Linked DNA regions of Canis lupus familiaris. The main gene of each other region encodes a partner of the protein of the gene in region 2 in a complex. Links are inferred from orthologs where the notes say so. Each region holds a gene or a part of one and is shown on either strand. Other genes may lie near its edges.

What was found. The genes of interacting proteins can lie anywhere in the genome.
Region 1: MAP3K20 (region 2) and MAPK14 share a complex: the UniProt entries of both Homo sapiens proteins name them as parts of the signaling complex. The link is inferred for Canis lupus familiaris from reciprocal best matches to the Homo sapiens genes MAP3K20 and MAPK14.
Region 3: MAP3K20 (region 2) and PKN1 share a complex: the UniProt entries of both Homo sapiens proteins name them as parts of the signaling complex. The link is inferred for Canis lupus familiaris from reciprocal best matches to the Homo sapiens genes MAP3K20 and PKN1.

The regions. Positions count from the first base shown.
Region 1 is NC_049233.1:5,325,167-5,331,281, reverse strand, and holds the start of MAPK14 (mitogen-activated protein kinase 14), read right to left. Parts: upstream 3,528-6,115; coding exon 3,412-3,527; intron 1-3,411. Other genes in the region: SLC26A8 (testis anion transporter 1), read left to right, coding at 4,344-4,398. UniProt on the Homo sapiens protein: Serine/threonine kinase which acts as an essential component of the MAP kinase signal transduction pathway.
Region 2 is NC_049257.1:17,819,826-17,825,932, reverse strand, and holds the end of MAP3K20 (mitogen-activated protein kinase kinase kinase 20), read right to left. Parts: intron 4,627-6,107; exon of another isoform or gene 4,174-4,626; intron 3,708-4,173; coding exon 3,090-3,707; coding exon of another isoform or gene 3,007-3,089; exon of another isoform or gene 2,874-3,006; intron 1,892-2,873; coding exon 1,809-1,891; 3' UTR 1,431-1,808; downstream 1-1,430. UniProt on the Homo sapiens protein: Stress-activated component of a protein kinase signal transduction cascade that promotes programmed cell death in response to various stress, such as ribosomal stress, osmotic shock and ionizing radiation.
Region 3 is NC_049241.1:48,578,919-48,585,078, reverse strand, and holds the start of PKN1 (serine/threonine-protein kinase N1), read left to right. Parts: upstream 1-2,633; 5' UTR 2,634-2,648; coding exon 2,649-2,705; intron 2,706-5,086; exon of another isoform or gene 5,087-5,182; coding exon of another isoform or gene 5,183-5,221; intron 5,222-6,160. UniProt on the Homo sapiens protein: PKC-related serine/threonine-protein kinase involved in various processes such as regulation of the intermediate filaments of the actin cytoskeleton, cell migration, tumor cell invasion and transcription regulation.

The DNA.
Region 1 (6,115 bases), on a different chromosome or scaffold from region 2:
TAAAAAATCTTGCATAGGCTAAATACACTCGTGATAAATATAAACTACACAGTAAAATGCCTAGAACAGTAAGCAATCCATAAAATGTAGTTTTTTTATTCACATTAGACTTAGCTTGACGAGGGAATGGATTATCTCACTGTCTTGCTCAGCACTCTATCTCATGAAACCTAGCCCATTATCTAGTCCGTAGCTGGTATTCAGTGTTGTTGAATCAACAAAGGACTATGACTTAAGAGTATTTTTTATTTTATGGCTACCTATTTTATGGCTACCAGGGCCCCACCTCCTCTAATCAACAGCAAGGGTCTGGAAAAACCATACCCAGAGGAAAGGCATTTAAGTTCCTGTTTATATTTCCTTAAACTCACCACAAAGAGTCCCTCCTTCTGTCCCAAAACCAGAAAATCAATGCTTTGCAACAAAGTATTCTTAAACAATTTTGCTTCATTTCCCCTCACAGACAATGCAACAAAGTTCCTTAAAACTGCAAGACTTATTTAGTTCCCTTTACCTTTTAAAAAGGAAAGGTATATTATAAAACCTTATCAATTTTTTAAAAAATTGAAAAATTAAAAAAATAAAACCTTATCAATTTTCAATTTCTAGTCTGATTCCTTGATCTTGGATTCATAGCATACAGGCTGCTGCTTGCCTTTTTACTGTAGACTTAGTGAAAATTAAAATGAGAAAATAGGCTTAACATAAAAAACTTTTAATATACATCAAAGTATATCACACTTAGGAGCAATCAAATTAGGAAACTGACAGATATTTGCGTGAGGTTGCATTCCTTAAAATGCTTTCAGAGATTCTTTTTCGGAACAGACTTCAGATCCAGTTCTACAAGTCACACAAGAAATTCTGTCATTACTTTATAGTTATAACTCCTATTTGACCTAAAACAAGACCAACCTGAATGCCTAATCTTTCTCGCCAGACTTGAGTACAAATTCTCTAAATTATTTGAATTCAGCTTGATTTTCTTATTCCCTAAAATCAAATCTGTTCTTAAAGGATGATGGCAGTGAAAAATAACACAGGCTCCAGAATGCTGTAAGAGAAATTAAAAAAAAAAAAAAAAAAAAAGTTTGCTGCAACACCCAAAACACTGCTAAGAATCTGAAAGAACTGAAAGAATAACTTCAAATAATTCTGAATGAGATGCCACTTACTTATGTATATCTAAATTCTGATATTTTCAATCCAAAATCAATTATATTTGCCATAGTCAACTGACACACATAAGATGCATTCTCTTCCACCAATATACCATATGTCACACTTTAAATCCCTCAACAGAAATACTACTAAAAACAAATGAATGGGCTCTGCCTCCTTGTAAAGACACATAAGAAACTTAACAGGGGCTGTCTCAGAGGAAAGGAATAGCACAGTTGGAGAACAAGAAAGGAAAGGATACCTTTCGTTAAATATCCTTTTACGCCTTTTGAATTTTATACAATGTGTATATAATTCTATACATATTTTTTAAAATATGTTTAACAAAATCACTTCCAAGTGTCAGATATTTCTGGCTTCTGTAAGCCAAAAAAGTATAGTACTAAGGAAATGTAAAGGTCATTTTTATGATACTTCACTCTAAATCTGAATCTGCAGTTCCAGGACAGAGCTATTCATACCAACAGTAGGAAGACCTTGCAAGCAGTTGTTTTCAGGTCCACTAAACTCCCCATAGTTGAGCTATTCTGCTGTATCATTTCATTAAAGTTTAAACATCATTGGAAACAGAAACTTGGTACTACGAAAATTAATGTCAATTATGACATAACAGAATGAAAAAGAGTGGTAAAATAATAAGCTATTAAAGGAGCCATGATCCAAATATATCTCTGAAAATTTGCAAATCAATCACACATATAGATGGATACAGTAAAATGTTGCAAATTCCCTTAAAACGTAAACTGCCATATTATAAAAATGAGGAAAAGATGTCAAGCACGGGACCATCAGCAAGATGAACTCACGCAGCTTGAACTAGAAAATGCAATATGATCTGTTGCTTGACACAATTGCACAATCTCAATTACCCAGAAGATTCTAGCAAACAGGAAATTCATGATGTGACTTTAAGAAACACAAGAATTATAAAGATTAACACATCCAAAAGTCTGGAATTCGTTTCCCTCACCCCCACCCCCACCCTCCCAAAATCTTATGGAGCCCTTTTCAAATGATTCACATGAATACAGGAATTAGTTTCAGATCAGCAGCTCTCAAGTTACAGTAACTCTAAAATATGGTGTGTAATACCTAAACTAGTGAAATATTTTAGATCCAAGAATTTTATTGGATCGATTTAATTTAAAACACAGTGTGAATTAAAGCTGAGAAGTGTCTCTCCCTTCCTTTGCTATATATTCCCTATCCTTATGAAAACCATCGTGTACCTCAGGCTACAAATGTAGATCAGTTCCCTGCGAACTCTCTAAAGAAGTTTAAAAACACAATATTCACAAGATGTACTGCAATTAAGAAATACTTACAATACCTCCCCAGATTGCTCATGATTCTTTGATCTTGAGCGCGTCCAACGGATCTGAATCTCACTTGCTCCAAGTGAAAAAACTGTTTTTGCCAAACAATACTTAAATGAGCAGTGGTATGTGACTAATCAGTGAAGCCGCCAGTTTCTCAAGCTGCAGTGTTCTTGCAGGCACTACCACCCACCCCCACTCAGCGAAAAGGAAATACGCTTTCAACAGAATCGGAAACACACAACTCAAGCTGGCACTAGGCTGGCCGAGATAAAGTCGGTATTTTCGGTTCTTTGGGTCGCTGCTAATGCAAGTGCGAATTCGAAAAGAATGCCTCTCGAAATGAGATTTCGAAAGAGGTCTGCAAAAAAAAAAAAAAAAAAAAGCCAGGGCAGAAAGCCCTTGGTCGTCAGTTTTGTTCCGACGCTCGCAGTCTCCCGTAGAGCTTGGCCCTTCTGCTTCTCCCTGCAGCCCCCCCGGGCTTGTCTGCTTGGAGGGCAGGCTCCCGCGCGCCCAGAGTGGCTGCACCTCCGGAGAGGCTCCTTCGGCTCGAGGCTGGCAGGGAGACACCCCCCACCCCCGGAGAGACGCCCCGGCCTCTGTGCCAGCCCCCCTCCCCCGAGCAGCCACCCCCCCAGAAGGGATTGCGCAGGGTGCGAGGCAGGGCCGAGCTCCAGCACCACCGCCCACCGTGGACCTGCATCCTGCACACAGCCGACCGCCTCCCTGGGGGTGCAGAGTGAGGGGTGCAAGGGGGTCCCGGGCGTGCAGCACAGGGGTCGAATGGGCAACGATGCCCTCCCCCAGAGAAAATTCCTACCGCTTGGTGCATCGCTGAGCTGTGTGGGCAGGCCTGGTTCTGGGGTGCTGAGGCCACCAAGCCCGCCGCAGACCCAAGCCCGGTGACACTCACCACACGGAGCCGTAGGCGCCGGAGCCCACCGGGGACAGGTTCTGGTAACGCTCGGGCACCTCCCAGATTGTCTTATTCAGCTCCTGCCGGTAGAACGTGGGCCTCTCCTGAGACATCTTCCAGCGGCGGCCGCGGGGCTAGGAGGTGGCCCTGAGGGGCCCCGCCTGCGCCCGCACCCGCACCCGCTCCCGCTCCCGCTCCCGGGCCCTCGTTGCCCGCCGGGCCGGGCGGGGACCCGGAGCTGGCAGTCGGCGCAGGTGCGGCAGACGCGACCCCGCCGACTCCCGCGCGCGCGGCCCCTGTCAGCCGCAGCTGCCGGGCGAGCCCGGTGAAGGGCAGGGGCAGGCTGCGGGGCTCAGGGCTGCGCCCACCACGCTCTCCCTGCACCCTCTCCCCGACCAGGCCGACCCCGGGCTGCGCCGCGGAACTGCGGCTCCAGCTGCAGCGCCCGCTCAAGTTCCAGTGATCGCCGTTCCAGAGCCAGCGAACAGGAGTCGCTAGCCGTACTCTCGCGAGACCAGCTCCCGGGACTCTCCGCGAGCCGAGATTTTACCCAATATGGAACCTGCCCACGGGAGGGGGTGGACTACCGGAGAGGATGGGAGGAGCACTTCTCGCGAGAAAAGGGCAACAGCTGGAGACCAGAGGCAGGAACTCTCGGGGACTGCTCTTAAGGGCGCGAAGGCGGACCCGGGAAAGGGAGGGACAGGCAGGCAACGTATGCCGCGTGCGCCCCACCGTGGTCGGCGGGGCAAACGCCCGGCTCCGTGGCGGGAGGCGACGGCGACTAATAGGGTGTCGGGAAAAGAGCCAAAAGATCTTTGAACTGCCGGTAGTCACCAGCAGCCGAGCATCTGCTCAGCAGAACCTCCAACTTCCAAGAAATACTTACATTTGGAAAAGGAAGGTTCCAGCCAGAAAGCCGTTATTCCATGTTCGGGGACATACGGCTTAATCTTCGGAACTGTGACGGACCCTATCCCGAAAGCAAGTATTAGCTCTACGTTAAGTCTGAGGTTTTCCACCCAAACTCTCCTAACGGTCTTTAAACGTTTATGTGCAAAAGAACACTTGGAGTGTTAAAAAAAAAAAAAAAAAAAAAAAGCCAAGTCCCAGGACCCACAGGGAGTCTAAGTGGATAGGTCGGTGATAGGCGCCAAGAACGCGCATTTTTATAATATGCTCCAGGCAGTTCTGATTCAGGAAAGTCTCCCGCATCCCCCTTGGAGAAGGATTTTTGAAAAGAGTACTTCTGAGGGTTTGAAACTGAATCCTGCTCTGAAGCTTGATTCTTGCCTCAGGTTAAGGAGAGCAAGGCAGAGGGTGTCCTATTAGGCAAGTCTATTGACCTCTCTTAGACTCTAGTTCCAGCTTCTGCAAAAGTAATTCCTGCCTTACATCCGCGCCTAATAGGGTTACCTGTAAAGCTGAACAAGATAGTAAGTGTGAGTGAGCAAGATACTATATAACCATGCCTACAGCCACTGTAACCAACTTATTCCTTTGTTAAAGTTTGTTACAATGTCTCTTAGAAGTAACTGGGTCCAAGCCAGGACACCTCTCAACCCTTCCCGTGATTATTCTCTTTCGTGTCGTGCATCCTTTAGAATGCTCAGATTTTGCATATCTTGTCCCAGCACCTAGCACAGTGCCTAGAATATAATAGGTACCCCATAAATATTTATTGAACAAATTATGAATAATGACCATGATCTCAACTTAGGAGAGAGTGCAGGATCCTCAGTTCTCCTCAAGGAAAAACAAAAATAAAAACCAGAGTCATGGGTCATTCCTGGAAAGCTTTTCTTGGAGGATCCGATGTGGCTTAGTCTGGATTCTCTCGCCTATGAAGACATGCTGCTTGAAAATGTTCCAAGGCTACCTGCAGTTTAGGGAGCCCTCCAAGAAGTAATGAAGGTTGAAGGAAGAGGCGAGAAGCAAAAATGTGATTGGAAAGAAATGGCGGGTGGGAGTGGGCAATCAAGGTGATGAGTGGATGGATACAAGGGAGGAAACTCGGCAGTAGGAATGAACCTAAGGAATTCATGATTATCCACCAAATTGGGATAGTGAAGTGGGAGTGACTGAAAGGGTAAAAATGAACTAAACAGTACATTCAGTCACTCTTTCAACAAACATGTACCGAATGCCTACTCTGTGCCAGCCACTTCTGATTGACAAAAGGCAATTTAAAAATAGACACAGTTGGGCAGCCAGGGTGGCTCAGTGGTTTAGAGCCGCCTTCAGCCCAGGGCGTGGTCCTGGAGACGCGGGATCGAGTCCCACGTCCGGCTCCCTGCATGGAGCCTGCTTCTCCCTCTGCCTGTGTCTCTGCCTCTCTCTCTCTCTCTCTCTCTCTCTCATGAATAAATAAAACCTTTAAAAAAAATAGACACAGTTGCTGCCTACATGGAATTTACAACTGACTGAGCGCTTACTATATCTACCACATTGTTTAGGCACTGATAATACAGCCATTAGAAAAATCCCTGCCAATAAATAAATAAATAAATAAAAATAAAAAAAAAAAAAGAAAAATCCCCGCCTTATGGGGGGCGATGGGTGACAATCTACAAAAAAGGAACGAATAGGTAAAGTGAATGTGTTAGATTTTAACCCAGTAATCGAGCAAGTGTAAAACTGCAGCTGGGCCAAGCAGGAATCCAGGGCGTAGTCACATAGTGACAGGGACTGAGTAAACTTC
Region 2 (6,107 bases):
CAGGCACAGCATAGAGCCTACTTAAAAAAAAAAGACTCAGGTTACTTCTATAGAATTGCTAATTCAGTGACTTTGTAAGGAGCAAAATATCTTACTTTGGGCTATGCTTGGAATAATGACTACCTCTGTGGTAGCAACCAACATTGATTTGGTGGTTTCAGATTCTATCAGAAGCCTACTTAAGGACCACTAAACCCCCACATCTAGAGATGCCCAACTTAAGAGAGACTTTAATTTTTTCTACTGTAATTTTTTTCTTTTCAAATATCCGTTGTTTTTTTTTTTTTTTTTAACTTTAGTCTCTTGGAAATTATATAGTTGGCAACTTAGTTGGATGGGGAAAAAAAATCCTATTAATCCTAGTTGTATTCTTATATTCATCTTTCAACCTGGCCAGCAACTCCTAATGATGTTTATTAGAGGGAAAAAAAAAAAAGAACATCCAACTCTTATTTTTGCTTTACAACCGAGAAACAGATTCCTGATTTTGGTTTTGACTGGGAGCATTGATGCTGACAAGTATTTTTCCAAGAGACCTTCCAAAGTGGTCAGATTTGTGGGCTGTTGGAATAACCACTGTGTGGTCGCTAACTAGGACTGAGCTCATGAAGTGATTTCACTACCAGCCTGGATTCTCTAACCCAAAGCCCAAGAAAGCTAGAAGTGAAGAAAACAGCCTGTAATGAGCAATCATTTGCGTAACACTTTTTAAATGAGTCTTAAGTCATTCTCCAGAATGCCTTTTTTGTTTAATAATTAAAGCCATACTCTGTTCCTTTCAGAGTGACTTAGCTAAGCCTCTGTTCTGTGTTCGGGCACTTAACCAAAAGTTCTAATCAAAGAAAATATTTTATTGCTTATTTGGAAGCACCATGCTATTAAGATAGCATACTTTCTATTAGTCTATTTTTCTTTAAATTTGAACTCAAAGGACAAGAGGAAAATAATAATTGAAAACAGACTGTAGTTGCCATAAGCTTTGTGAGAAAGGATCACTGTGGAGCTTACCACCCTAGAGACATTGGTTATGCGGATGGAAAAGAGTACTTCACCCTCTGATTTTACCACTCCCCATTGCTCTTGCTTATAAATGCAGATGGCAAACGATACGACTTAAAAAACCAAGTTGTCGAATCAAGAATCACCGTTTAGGTTACAACTTCCCTCATAAAACAAAGGTCATTTCCTATAACCTTGGCTTTAATGCTTCCCAAATAGTTTCCCCCACCAGGCCCCAGGCACTGTATTTGAGCAGGGCAGCTGCTCTGGGAGTATACACTCCAACTTGATGACCGGTTTCTATCAAAGAGAACTCAACCCCATGGAATTACCAGTGTGGCACTTGAATTTCTACAGAGCATTGAGAAGCCTGGGCAGGGCAAAGGACACTTGCTATTCAGGGTTAGTGAATATTGAACAGAATCTCAGAATATATTGAAAGTCAAGTTTATTTATTTGACATATAAGGCTGTTACCTCTGGACTTTTTGATTTGTAAAATATGAAGCATTTCATCAAGTTGGATCTCACAGTTCCTGTCCCCTACTGCAGGCAGTTTCCTCCCACCTGCACCAGCCCTTTGCCCCCAGCTGCTTAGAGCTTTCTTGCTGCAAGGATGGTATTTACTGTCTTGTGCTAAAGAGGATGTTGGTGATTTTCACATTTCTTTGGCTTATGGCTTGTGACGTTATCACCCTGCCCTGTGTCTGCTTTCTTTCAGATTTTAGATTTCTGACATTCCAAGAGGTCTTTATGGACTGTTGTTTTTCCCTCTTTGCTCCTCCTTTGGTAAAATGTAGAAGAGAATATTCAAAAGCAGTCCCTGGAGAGCTTTGGGAAAGCAGTAACCACACATCTCCTAGGCAATTTTAGATCTTTGGTTTCTGATGAGCCTTAATGAAAGAGATATGCGTCATAATCAACATTAAGTTCAATAACTTTTTTTATTGCCTAAAAATGATAAGCCAAATCACTTCAGCTCTGACCATGATAAAAATCCAAATGCATTTCTAAAATAAATACTAACCAACAGTGTCAGGACTAGACTTGGGTAAGGAGAGGCACTTGCCTCGGGCACAGAATTTCAGGAGGCCTCAAGAAAAACATCAAGAAACCCCCAACACCTCAGTAATCAAGATAAATTATATTTTAATGCAACATTTTTAAAATTAATGCACAAATTCACGATGAACAAAATATCAAAATTTTAAATAGGATCAGTAATAGTGCTTTGCCAAGCCATATTGGAGCCTTAGACAAGGGGAAAAATCAGTAATACCAATCCTATATTTATGTAAAATTTTGATTTTTTGTTTATTAGAATTTTTTTGCATCAATTTTCATTTATTTAAATATTGCATTAGGATATTATGTCTCTTGATTACTGAGCTTTCTGGTGTTCCCTTAAATTTTGCACTCAAGACAAGGGCCCCACTTAACATCACCCTAGTTCAGACCCTGTTAACCAGAATGGCAGTGTTAGGGAAATAAAGTGGCGTAGCCCCTCCTCTCAAAATGTCAATTCAGGGGTGGGGGGATATGTATAGTTATGTTTAAAGTCTAGTTATCATCTTTGGGGAACCACATCCGTAATTTTGGCCCTGGTTTGGCCAAAAATGGTAGTCTCCATTAGAAAGCATTTCCTAAATCCAAAAATGGAAAAGTTGTCTTTTTGTTAATTCTGTCTGAAGGTATCATATTATCAAAATCCATTACATCTTAAAAAGAAGAAGAAGAAAGAAGAAGAAGAAGAAGAAGAAGAAGAAGAAGAAGAAGAAGAAGAAGAAGAAGAAGAAGAAAGAAGAAGAAAGAAGAAGAAGGCAATGAAGAAAGAAGAAAGAAAGAAAGAAAGAAAGAAAGAAAGAAAGAAAGAAAGAAAGAAAGAAAGAGAAAGAAAGAAAGAAAGAAAGAAAGAAAGAAAGAAAGAAAGAAAGAAAGAAAGAAAGAAAGAAAGAAAGAAAGAAAGAAAAGAGCAGCCTGTTTAGGAAAACTCCTCTAGTTCAAGTCATCAAAAGTTTCTCCTTCCACGGTAGTTTCCTCTGGCTCTTTCCCTGTTAGTCTTGGCAGGAGAGGGCCTGTGAGGTTTCTTACGGTATTCCACTTTTGTCCATCCTCCTTCGCTGACTTTGCTCTCCTCTTCATTGGCTCTTGAGTCGGTCTCCGTGTGTAAAGGCATCCCTGGTATGGTCCTGGGTTGGTGGCAGTCATTTGGGCTTCTCTTGAGGTCAGGTGACTGCTGCGTGTTGAGTGCTGACTGAGAAACCCTGTAGAATTTTCCAGAATATCTTTCTCGTGAAGGAGTGGAATGCTGACTCTTCCCGCTATACCTTCCCCTAGGAGAAGAATTGAGTGATACGCTGCCACGATCATATTTGTTCTTGCTCCTACCTGAGTATCGACCTCTCTCTAAAGAGCTGTCAGTTGGAAGACTGGAAAAGCTACTGTCCCTGGAGTTGAGATGTAGAGAAGAGAAGTTTTTGGTTAGTCCGTACTGAGTAGGAGAGGAGCTTCTGGATTGGTTGATGGGTGTAATCTGTTGATACTTAATGGGCACCTGGGTCCGCCTGACAGCAGCAGCGTAGGAATCCTGATCATTGAAATATGGGAAGAATTGTGACCCCAGAATGGGGTTGCTCTGGGAACACTGTAGAGAAGTATTGGAAGCAATCTGCCGCATCCTCAGAGTATCCAGCCACTGGCGATCAGCACCTGCAGAGGAAATGGAAATGAGCATCTTTTAAGCCACAGTAAAGCTGCATGCCTAATTCATAAGCCTGTCTCAAGAGAATTCAAGCCTGCTTGGGATGCTCCGTGCTTTCCCATTCATAGAAATCCTAGGCGAGGGATAAGGACATATCCTTCATTATTATAAATTCTTCCTTAAAAATAAGGGCATTTGTACTGAGTCTATGCTTGGCATCGTTCCAGAGGCTTTACTGACATGATCTCATTCACTCCTCTCAGTAGTCTCAGGTAAGTGCTAATAATTTTACTCTGTAAACTAGGAGACTGAGGCTTGGGGAGGTCTGGTCGCTTGCCCAAGGTCACTCAGCTAATAATTCCAGGTCCTTCTGCATTTACAATCCCATCTTCTTCCCACTTAGCCACATCCTCACTTCTAGAAATTGCTGCTTGCGTGTGTTTGGATGGTAGGGGCATGTTTAGTAAACGAAAGGCTTTTTGCTAACGGGAACTTTTAAATCCTCAAGAACCCTAAATGCAGATAAAAGAAATTGGATTCCAGGGGTTGAGACAGCTGGGGATTGTCTGGGAGAAAGACAGCTCATGTCTCTAGAAGAGAGATTGTGAGGTTCAGGAATAAGATATGGGTTTTTTTTTCCATGAAAAATGAAGCCTCATGGCAGACAGGAAGAGAAGGTAAAAGAAAATGGTAAATAAACAAGAACCATTTAGGAAGCTCTGTTTCAGTGGATAAGCAAGTCACACCTTGGATCTTTACTGTCTTCCCCAGGGCCTGAGTCACATCTTTTGAGTTCCCTCCTAGTCCTCCCTGAGCTGTCCTCGCACGCTTGCCAGGAGGTTCTAGAGAGGAACAGAGCATGCTCACTCCTGTCTCCAGCAAGAAGCCCCTGCCTCACTGCTCCGCACAGGGGACCGCATCTTGGAGGTGAGTGACTTGTCCCAACACAGGTGACCTCTTGTGTCCAGACCCTCCTCACAGCTTCAACCAAGCCACAGTGCCTTCTTGCCTTCCCCTTGACTTCTCTAGAATTTTAGCTACTTTTTTTTTTCTTAAGATTTTATTTATTTATTCATGAGAGACACAGGCAGAGGGAGAAGCAGGCTCCCCGTGGGGACTCGATCCTGGATCCAGGGATCATGACCTGAGCCAACGGCGATGCTCAACCGCTGAACCACCCAGGCGCCCCTGAAATTTTAGCTTCTACTGGAGCCTTGGCTTTGTTGGTGGTCCGCCCCCTCATGGGGGCCGAGGGCACAGGGGGTGGGGGGGTGGGGGGGGAAGCTGCCCATATTCTGGCCCTCATGGCCGACTTTGGCCTGCTCAGATGCAGAGGTGTCGTGGTGAGGTATGGACAAGTTGCTCAGTTTCTGGCCAGAGCAATCTGAGGGGTCGTCTGCGGGGTGGGGGGGGGGGGTAAGTCTCTCTCACCCCTCCACACCAGAGCAGGAAAGGCATGGGCCCCTCCTGTCCTCTGCTCATTGCCATTTCTTTATACGATGGCTATGACTGTGGAGGAGCGAGGCCCAGGTAAGGCGACATAGTGAGGACGGCAGAGTGGAGGCAAGGAAAGGTTTGCTCCTCGCCCTTCATGCGGGTGAGCCAGCTTCTCTCCCTGCACTCGAGCCCAGCCGTCTTCGGGGCGTCTTCTCCAGGAGATAGCACATTTGATTATAGTTAAAACCCGTGGTTCAGAACTTTCGAGTGCCTACATCGCTGGTCCCTCCCCCCAGTTTCTGACTCTTCTGGTCTGGGGTTGGACTTGAGAATTTGCATTTCTAACAAGTTCCTATTGGTTCTGAGGCTGCCATTCCTGGGACTACACTTTGGTCCATTTGGGAGAAAGCTGGTGGAGGTTGGATTTCCTGTTACTTGCAGCTAAAACATATATCCTAACTGATGCAGGTGGTATCCTTTGAGTTTTTACATCAAAAGGGAAATAAAAATACGAGGAGGAAGGAAGAGGGGAGGCAAACCAGGTAAAACTGGGGTAAGCCGAAGGGAGGTCACTCCCTCCTTCTATCCTACAACCTCTCCTGTTCATAATAATCAGAGGGAAAGGTTTGTCTAAAGCCATTCCACTGGGAGATTGAAGGCTATTGACCATTCCTAACTCTCTTAGAGAAATGATTTGCTTTCTCGCCTAAAATTTAGATTTCAGAGAGGTACAGAACACCTGTTAGACATCTGCCCATTGTCTTCTTTGGGGAATGTCTAGTCTGTCTCCACTCACATGGCTACAGTTCACTGCACACTGTGTCCTTACTGCCTGCATCCCCCACTAGGTACTGCCACCTACCACCACCTCTTCCTGCTGGCAGTGTTAACTGATCCAGAGGAGAATGCTTGGAAAAAAACAGCACAAATAAGTCGTACTCCAGGGAATCTGGAGTTGGGACTGATAAAGT
Region 3 (6,160 bases), on a different chromosome or scaffold from region 2:
AGGCATCCTCAGGCTTTTTTTTTTTTTTTTTAATTTTATTTATTTATGATAGTCATCACACAGAGAAAGAGAGAGAGAGAGAGAGAGGCAGAAACACAGGCAGAGGGAGAAGCAGGCTCCATGCACCGGGAGCCCGACGTGGGATTCGATCCCGGGTCTCCAGGATCGCGCCCTGGGCCAAAGGCAGGCGCCACACCGCTGCGCCACACCGCTGCGCCACCCAGGGATCCCAACATCCTCAGGCTTTTCTGGGGAAAATATACTAGGAAGTAAAGGGTGGAGCTGGGAGCCCTGGGAGGAGGCTACTGTGCTGGTCCAGGTGAGCGATGGGACCAGACCAGCTGGGGGTTGGGGAAGGGGTGAGAAGTGGGCAGATTCCAGGTCGGTGTCATTCTCTTCCTTCTCCTCCTTCTTTTTCTTTCTGTTAAAATCCTCTAAATAAAAAAGGGAAAGTAAACATCCAGCCCTCATCCCTAAGTAACCAAAGTACCCTCAGCCCGCCACATTTTGGCTGGTCCCTGCAGGGCACCCAAGTTCAGGCTCAGTCTCCATGGAGCGCCCCGCCCTGAGCCCCAGGGACCAAGGTTTGGCTCACTCACCCGGTTTCTAAGGGAGTCCGAGGTCAGCCAAGAGCCAAGCTGCACGCTCTGGAGACTCCGGGGACCCTGGAGAAGCTCCATGGAGGCCTCCACTCTCCTCCTCCACTTGGGCACGAGCCTGCATTTATGGACCCCCACCTGTATGCCACAGCTCCGAAGAAAAGGTCTGCCTCGTATCACAGGGAAAACTGAGTCTCAGCGGGCCACAGGATCCTTAGGGCCCTCAGCCAGAGCCAGTGACAGAGCCGGGATTCAAGCTATTTTCATAGCAAGGGCAATCCCATTAAAAGCCACAGCAGCTAACACTTATTGGGTCCTTACTAGTTTCTCAACCCTGGGCATGCACGATCTCACTTAATTTTATCGACACCAGAGGGGTGGGTTGGTAAATCCAGTCTCACAGCTGAGGCGCTCACGATGTGGGGGCTCCCTCAAGGCACGGGATGCTGGGATTTGAACCCAGATCTGCCCAGAGCCCGTCTGCAGGCAACGGGGGATCCTTCCCAGGAGACTCGAGTTTGCAAAGGAGGGGGCGGGGCGGGGGAGGCGAATCGCTTTTGTTTTCAGAGGGGTCCCGGGAGGCCCGGAGGCCTCTGCCACGCCCCGCTTTAACGTGGCTGAGTCTTTCCTTCGGGTTCCCGCGCGCTCAGCTGGGGCACCCCGGGGCCGAGCGAGGTGCGGCCCCAGGCACGCGCGGGAGCAGCCGGCAAGGGGGTCGCGGCCGCCGACCCGCAGAGCCCCGCAGGCGGGACCCGCAGCCCCGGGGGCCGCCGGGAGCCGCGCCCCCGCCGCCCCGCCCCCTCCCCGGGCGCCGACCTCGGCGGTCACGTGACCCGGCCCGGCGGCCGCTGGGGCCGGAGGGCGCGGCGCGCGGACGCGGCGGCCTGGCCAGGCGGGGCCGGAGCGGACGGAGCAGGCCGGAGCGGGCCGCGCGCCGGCGGGGGCTGCGCCGCGCCCGCCCCTTCCCCGCCCCGCGCGGGGCGCACGCGCGCTCCTCCCGCCGCCCCTCCCTCCGCGCGGGGACCCCTGGCGGGCGGCGCGAGGACATGGCCAGCGACGCCGTGCAGGTAGGCGCACCTGCGTCCGCAGCCGCCCGGCGGCCGGCCAGCGCCGGGGACCCCCGCCCGCGCGTTGCCGGGTCCCCCGCGGCCCGGGTCGGCCCGGGCGGGGGCCTCCCGCGTGCCCGGCGCCCCCTCCCCGGGCCAACACGGTGGAGCGGGCGCGGTCCCCTTTTCGGCAGGTGGAGGTATGCATCGAGGGGGAGCGGGGAGGTCCGGAAGGCCCCGCTGCACCCCAAGCTCCGCCCCTGCCCGAGGATTAGAGGGGGCGCGGCGGAGGCTCCACTCCAGTGTCTGTGGCTGGCTGTGCGTCCCGGTGCCCGCCGCCCCCGCCGCTCGACTCGGCACTCCCTCTCCCCCACCCCAGCGTTCGGTTCCCGGCAGGTGCCGCTCCACCTGGGGCAGGTGCCTGGCGCAGTGGCCCGGAGGGGAGGAGGCCGTTCGGTCCGTGCCCCTCCCCCGCACAACAAAGCTCTGGCGGCCCCCCGCCTCCAGACTGAGCTTTATGATGATCCGGACGCCACCCAGATTGGCACCTGTTGGCGGAAGTGTCCTAGAGTCACCTCATTAGGTTGAGGAATGGGGGACCCACAGTGGCCGCGCTCAGGGCTACCAGGTGGAACCTTATCCCAGGCTGGGGATTCTCTTGGACCTGGAACACTACCTGGGCATGGGTGGCAGGGCTGGGTCACGCAGACACACACAGCCTGGCACCAACCTGCCACCAGCCAGGTTCTCCGTGTACCACCTTGTGAATATCACAGCCTTGGACTCACCTTCCACATCTGTGACAAGCCAGGCCAGAATGACTTCTGACCTTCGGTTCAGAATCTGAGGCACATCCTGTGCCTCTGGTGCCCTCAATAGTGCCTCAAAATCCCTCTGTTGTCCTGTGGTTGCTGTGTAACTGGGTTTTCGTCTCCTTCTGCACCTGCCCCCATCCCCTCTGTGTCTCCCCCATGACTCCCTGTCCCCCACCCCAGTCCTGCTGATGGCCTGTCAGCCTTGCCGTGGAGCTGGGCGTATCTGGTGTTGCCGATCACATAAGGTCAGACCTTGGGGCTGGGGTGGGCCGGGGTTTCTGACTCTACCCCCAGCCCTGGGAGGGCTCTGTAGGAATCCCCTGGCGCATGCATGCACTTGGCATGTGCGAAACATGACCCGGGTGGAGGCCGTGATTCCTGGAATGAGGCTGGACCTGTGCTGTTGTCCCCCCTCCCATGTCTTCCCCACTCTGTTCCCCCCTCCTGGTCATCCCTTGTGCCTGCTTGGGCCTGCCACCCTGTCCCTCTGTCTGTCCCGACGTATGCCTGTCTGTTTTGTGTCCGGCAAACGGATGTCCTGTCCAGATTCCGGAAACGCCCAAAGCATTGAAATCTCCGGACATGAGGGTCTAGGGCCCTGGCTGCTCTGGGAAGGGGGGGATTCTGGGAGGTGGACCCTCTGGACCTGGGTCTCGTGTGGGAGGTGGGAGGTGGGGGAGCAGGGATTCTCCAAGGCTGGGCCAGGCTCCTGATTCGTGGGTTTGCCTTGCTGGCCCAGGGATCACCTCTGCCCTCTGGGTAGGAGTGAGTCACCCAAGGGAAGAGAACCCAGGAGGCTGGGCCTGTCTCCTTCCCTCCCTGCTCTGCGTGTTCTCAGGCCTCAGCTTCTCTTCCTGTCTGCCTGGACTGTCCCTATTTGAGCTGGCCTGGACCCTGGCTGTACCCTGCTCTGCCTGCTAGGGATGGGATGGGGCTGGGTGGTAGGCGGGCACTGGTCACCAGCTGGTAGTATTAGGTGAACTTGGGTTTAAATTCCAGCTCTGTCACTTTCTCACTGTGTGTCCTGGACCCAGTGCCTTTGCCTCTCTGAGCCATGGTCCTGCCACCAAAAAAATGGGTCTACAAGGGTGTTCATAGTCCAAAGGGAGAGATGTAGATGGGCCTGTGCTCTGCAGGTGGAGCTGCTGAGAAATCCTTACTGGTGGTCATGGTCAGCAGCCCAGGGTGTGAATCTGTGTCCTTTATTGCAGGGTTTCTTGACATCAGTGCTATTGATGTTTGGGGCCAAATCATTCTTTGAGGTGGGGGCTGTCCGGTGCACCTTAGGATGTTGATCAGGTTCCCAAGTCTCAACCCAAAAGATGCCAGGAGTACATCCTCCCCACCCCTAGTTGTGACAACCAAAAACGTTTCTGGATGTTGTTCAGTGGCCCTGGAGGTGTGTGTGGGGATAACCTCCCCCACCCCGAACTGCTACTGTCACCTCTCTCAGCCTGTTTCCTCGCCTGGAGAGTAGGGAAGAATAGTGGCAGTGGCTCAGGATTCATGTGATGGGTTGGTAGGATGGTGAGAGTGACACTCTCAGCTGAACCCTTGCTGGGGACAGCTGCCCTCTGGTTTGGCTGGGAGCCAACAAGGACTTTCCTCATCTGTGCAATGGGTCCCCCAGTGGGGACTGTCATTCAGTGCCAGGCCTGACACTTGGACAGGGTGAGCAGATTCTGGGCACTCCTGTTTTAAATCCCAGCCCTTGGGCAGCTCCAGTGGCGCAGCGGTTTGGCGCTGCCTGCAGCCCGGGGCGTGATCCTGGAGACCCGGAATTGAGTCCCACGTCGGGCTCCCTGCATGGAGCCTGCTTCTCCCTCTGCCTGTGTCTCTGCCTCTCTCTCGGTCTCTCTCTCTGTGTTGCTCATGAATAAATAAATAAAATCTTTAAAAAAAAATAAAGTAAATCCCAGCCCTTCCTCCTGCTGGCTGTGGGGCCTCAGAGCAAGTTATGACATCACCACTCCAGGCCTTGGTATCCTTGTCTTGAAAATGGGGTGATGACAGTACCCACCTCATGAACTCGCATTAGGTGACCTCAGCAGAACTCCTAAAAACTACTCTTCTTATTATTAATAGTCATACTTGGCTTTTAGTGGGCCACTGGTTTGTGGGTACTCTTAACCCAGCCCTCCAGCACTGTCTCCTCATGATGTAGGGCTCAGAGAGGTGGCCCTGGCCTGGCTGGGCCCTACCTGTGGTTACAGCAGTGGGTGACCAGACTGAGAGGAAGCCGGAAGTAGGGACTGCCTGCGTCAGCAGGAAGGGGGCTGGCCATAGAAGCCTCTCTGGCGGGCTTGTGTGTATCTGTGTGCATGGGGTAGGCACAGGGTGGGCACACACGTGCCTGCCTGTGTTTTGTGCACACACCTATAGGTACACGAGAGGGTGTATACACCTAGGGTAGCCCCTGGAGCCTGCATATACTCAAAGGAGGTTGGTCTCCATGTCTACACTAGCGAGCATGTGAGGTGTGTGCACACCTTAGCAACCTCCTAGGATGTCGAGGGAGGGCTGTCCCTGGTTGCCTCCTGAGAAGTCAGGCTTAGTCCCGGAGAGGGCACAGGGAGGGAAGGTCCTCTAGGTGCCCCAAAGCCCCAGAGCTGGCCCCACGCAGGGGATGCTGGGAGCTAGCAGGAAAGAGGAAGTGGCGGTCAAGAGGCCCTGGGAGGGCTGAGGTTCAGGAAGAGGGCGGGGCCCTCAGCCCGGACCCAGGATGGCGGAGGCCAATCCCCCTTTGGACCAGGAGCTGGAGGTCGGGGCTGGGGTCGGGGTGGGGGGCCAGAGAGGACCCCGGTGACACAGACCGGAGGTCCTGCCCTCGGTACCTCTCGATTTTGGACCAAGGAGAGATGGGTTTAGGAGTTTTCTGTTTTGAAGATGAAAATACGTGGGGTTTTTTTGAGGCTCCCAGGTCGGGGAAATAGAGAAGGAAGGAGACAGGGCTCTGCTCTTTAGGGCCCGGTTGTAGAGGATGAGAGCAGGGGAGACAGAGCTTGCCAGGACCTCCTAGTTTGAGGGTACAACAGGAGAGAGGTGGGGCCCGTCCTCAGAACGTAGTTTGGGGTTATAGCAGAGGGAAGACGAGACCTGCCCTTGGCACCTCCCAGCGTGAGGGCATAGCAGAGAGGAAGGGGGCCTGCTCAAAGGATCTTGACCCCATTGTTTTGGGGAGGGGTTGGCAGCAGAGGCCTGTCCTGATACTTCCTTGTTTGAGGAGCAGCAGAGGGACAATGGAGCCTGCCCTTGGGGCCTAGTTTTAGGGACAGTAGAGGGGAGTTGGGGCCTACCCTTGGGACCTCCTACCCTAGGGGGACAGCAGAAGTGACAAGGGGTCTGCCCTCAGGACCTTCTTGGGGGGGGCAATGGGAGATAGGGCCTGAATTTAGGGACCTCTTCATTTGGGGGGGCACACTGGTGAGATAGTGGTGCCTGTCCTCCAGAATCCTACTGCATAAGAAATAGATGAAGGGAGACGGGACAGTACTTATGGGGTCCCCTCGCCTCAGGGGCCAGAGGAGGAGGAAGCCCATGCCCTTGGGACCCCACAGTTTAGGGCAGTCAGGAAGCAGAGACAGCACCACGTCTCACCTCCCGGCTTGGAGGGTCGGAGCATGTTTTGGAAGCCCCCGGCCGCGAGGAGGCCAGGCCAAGCTGGCTGAGCGCATTGGGCGCTGCGGTGTCCGGGCCCCAC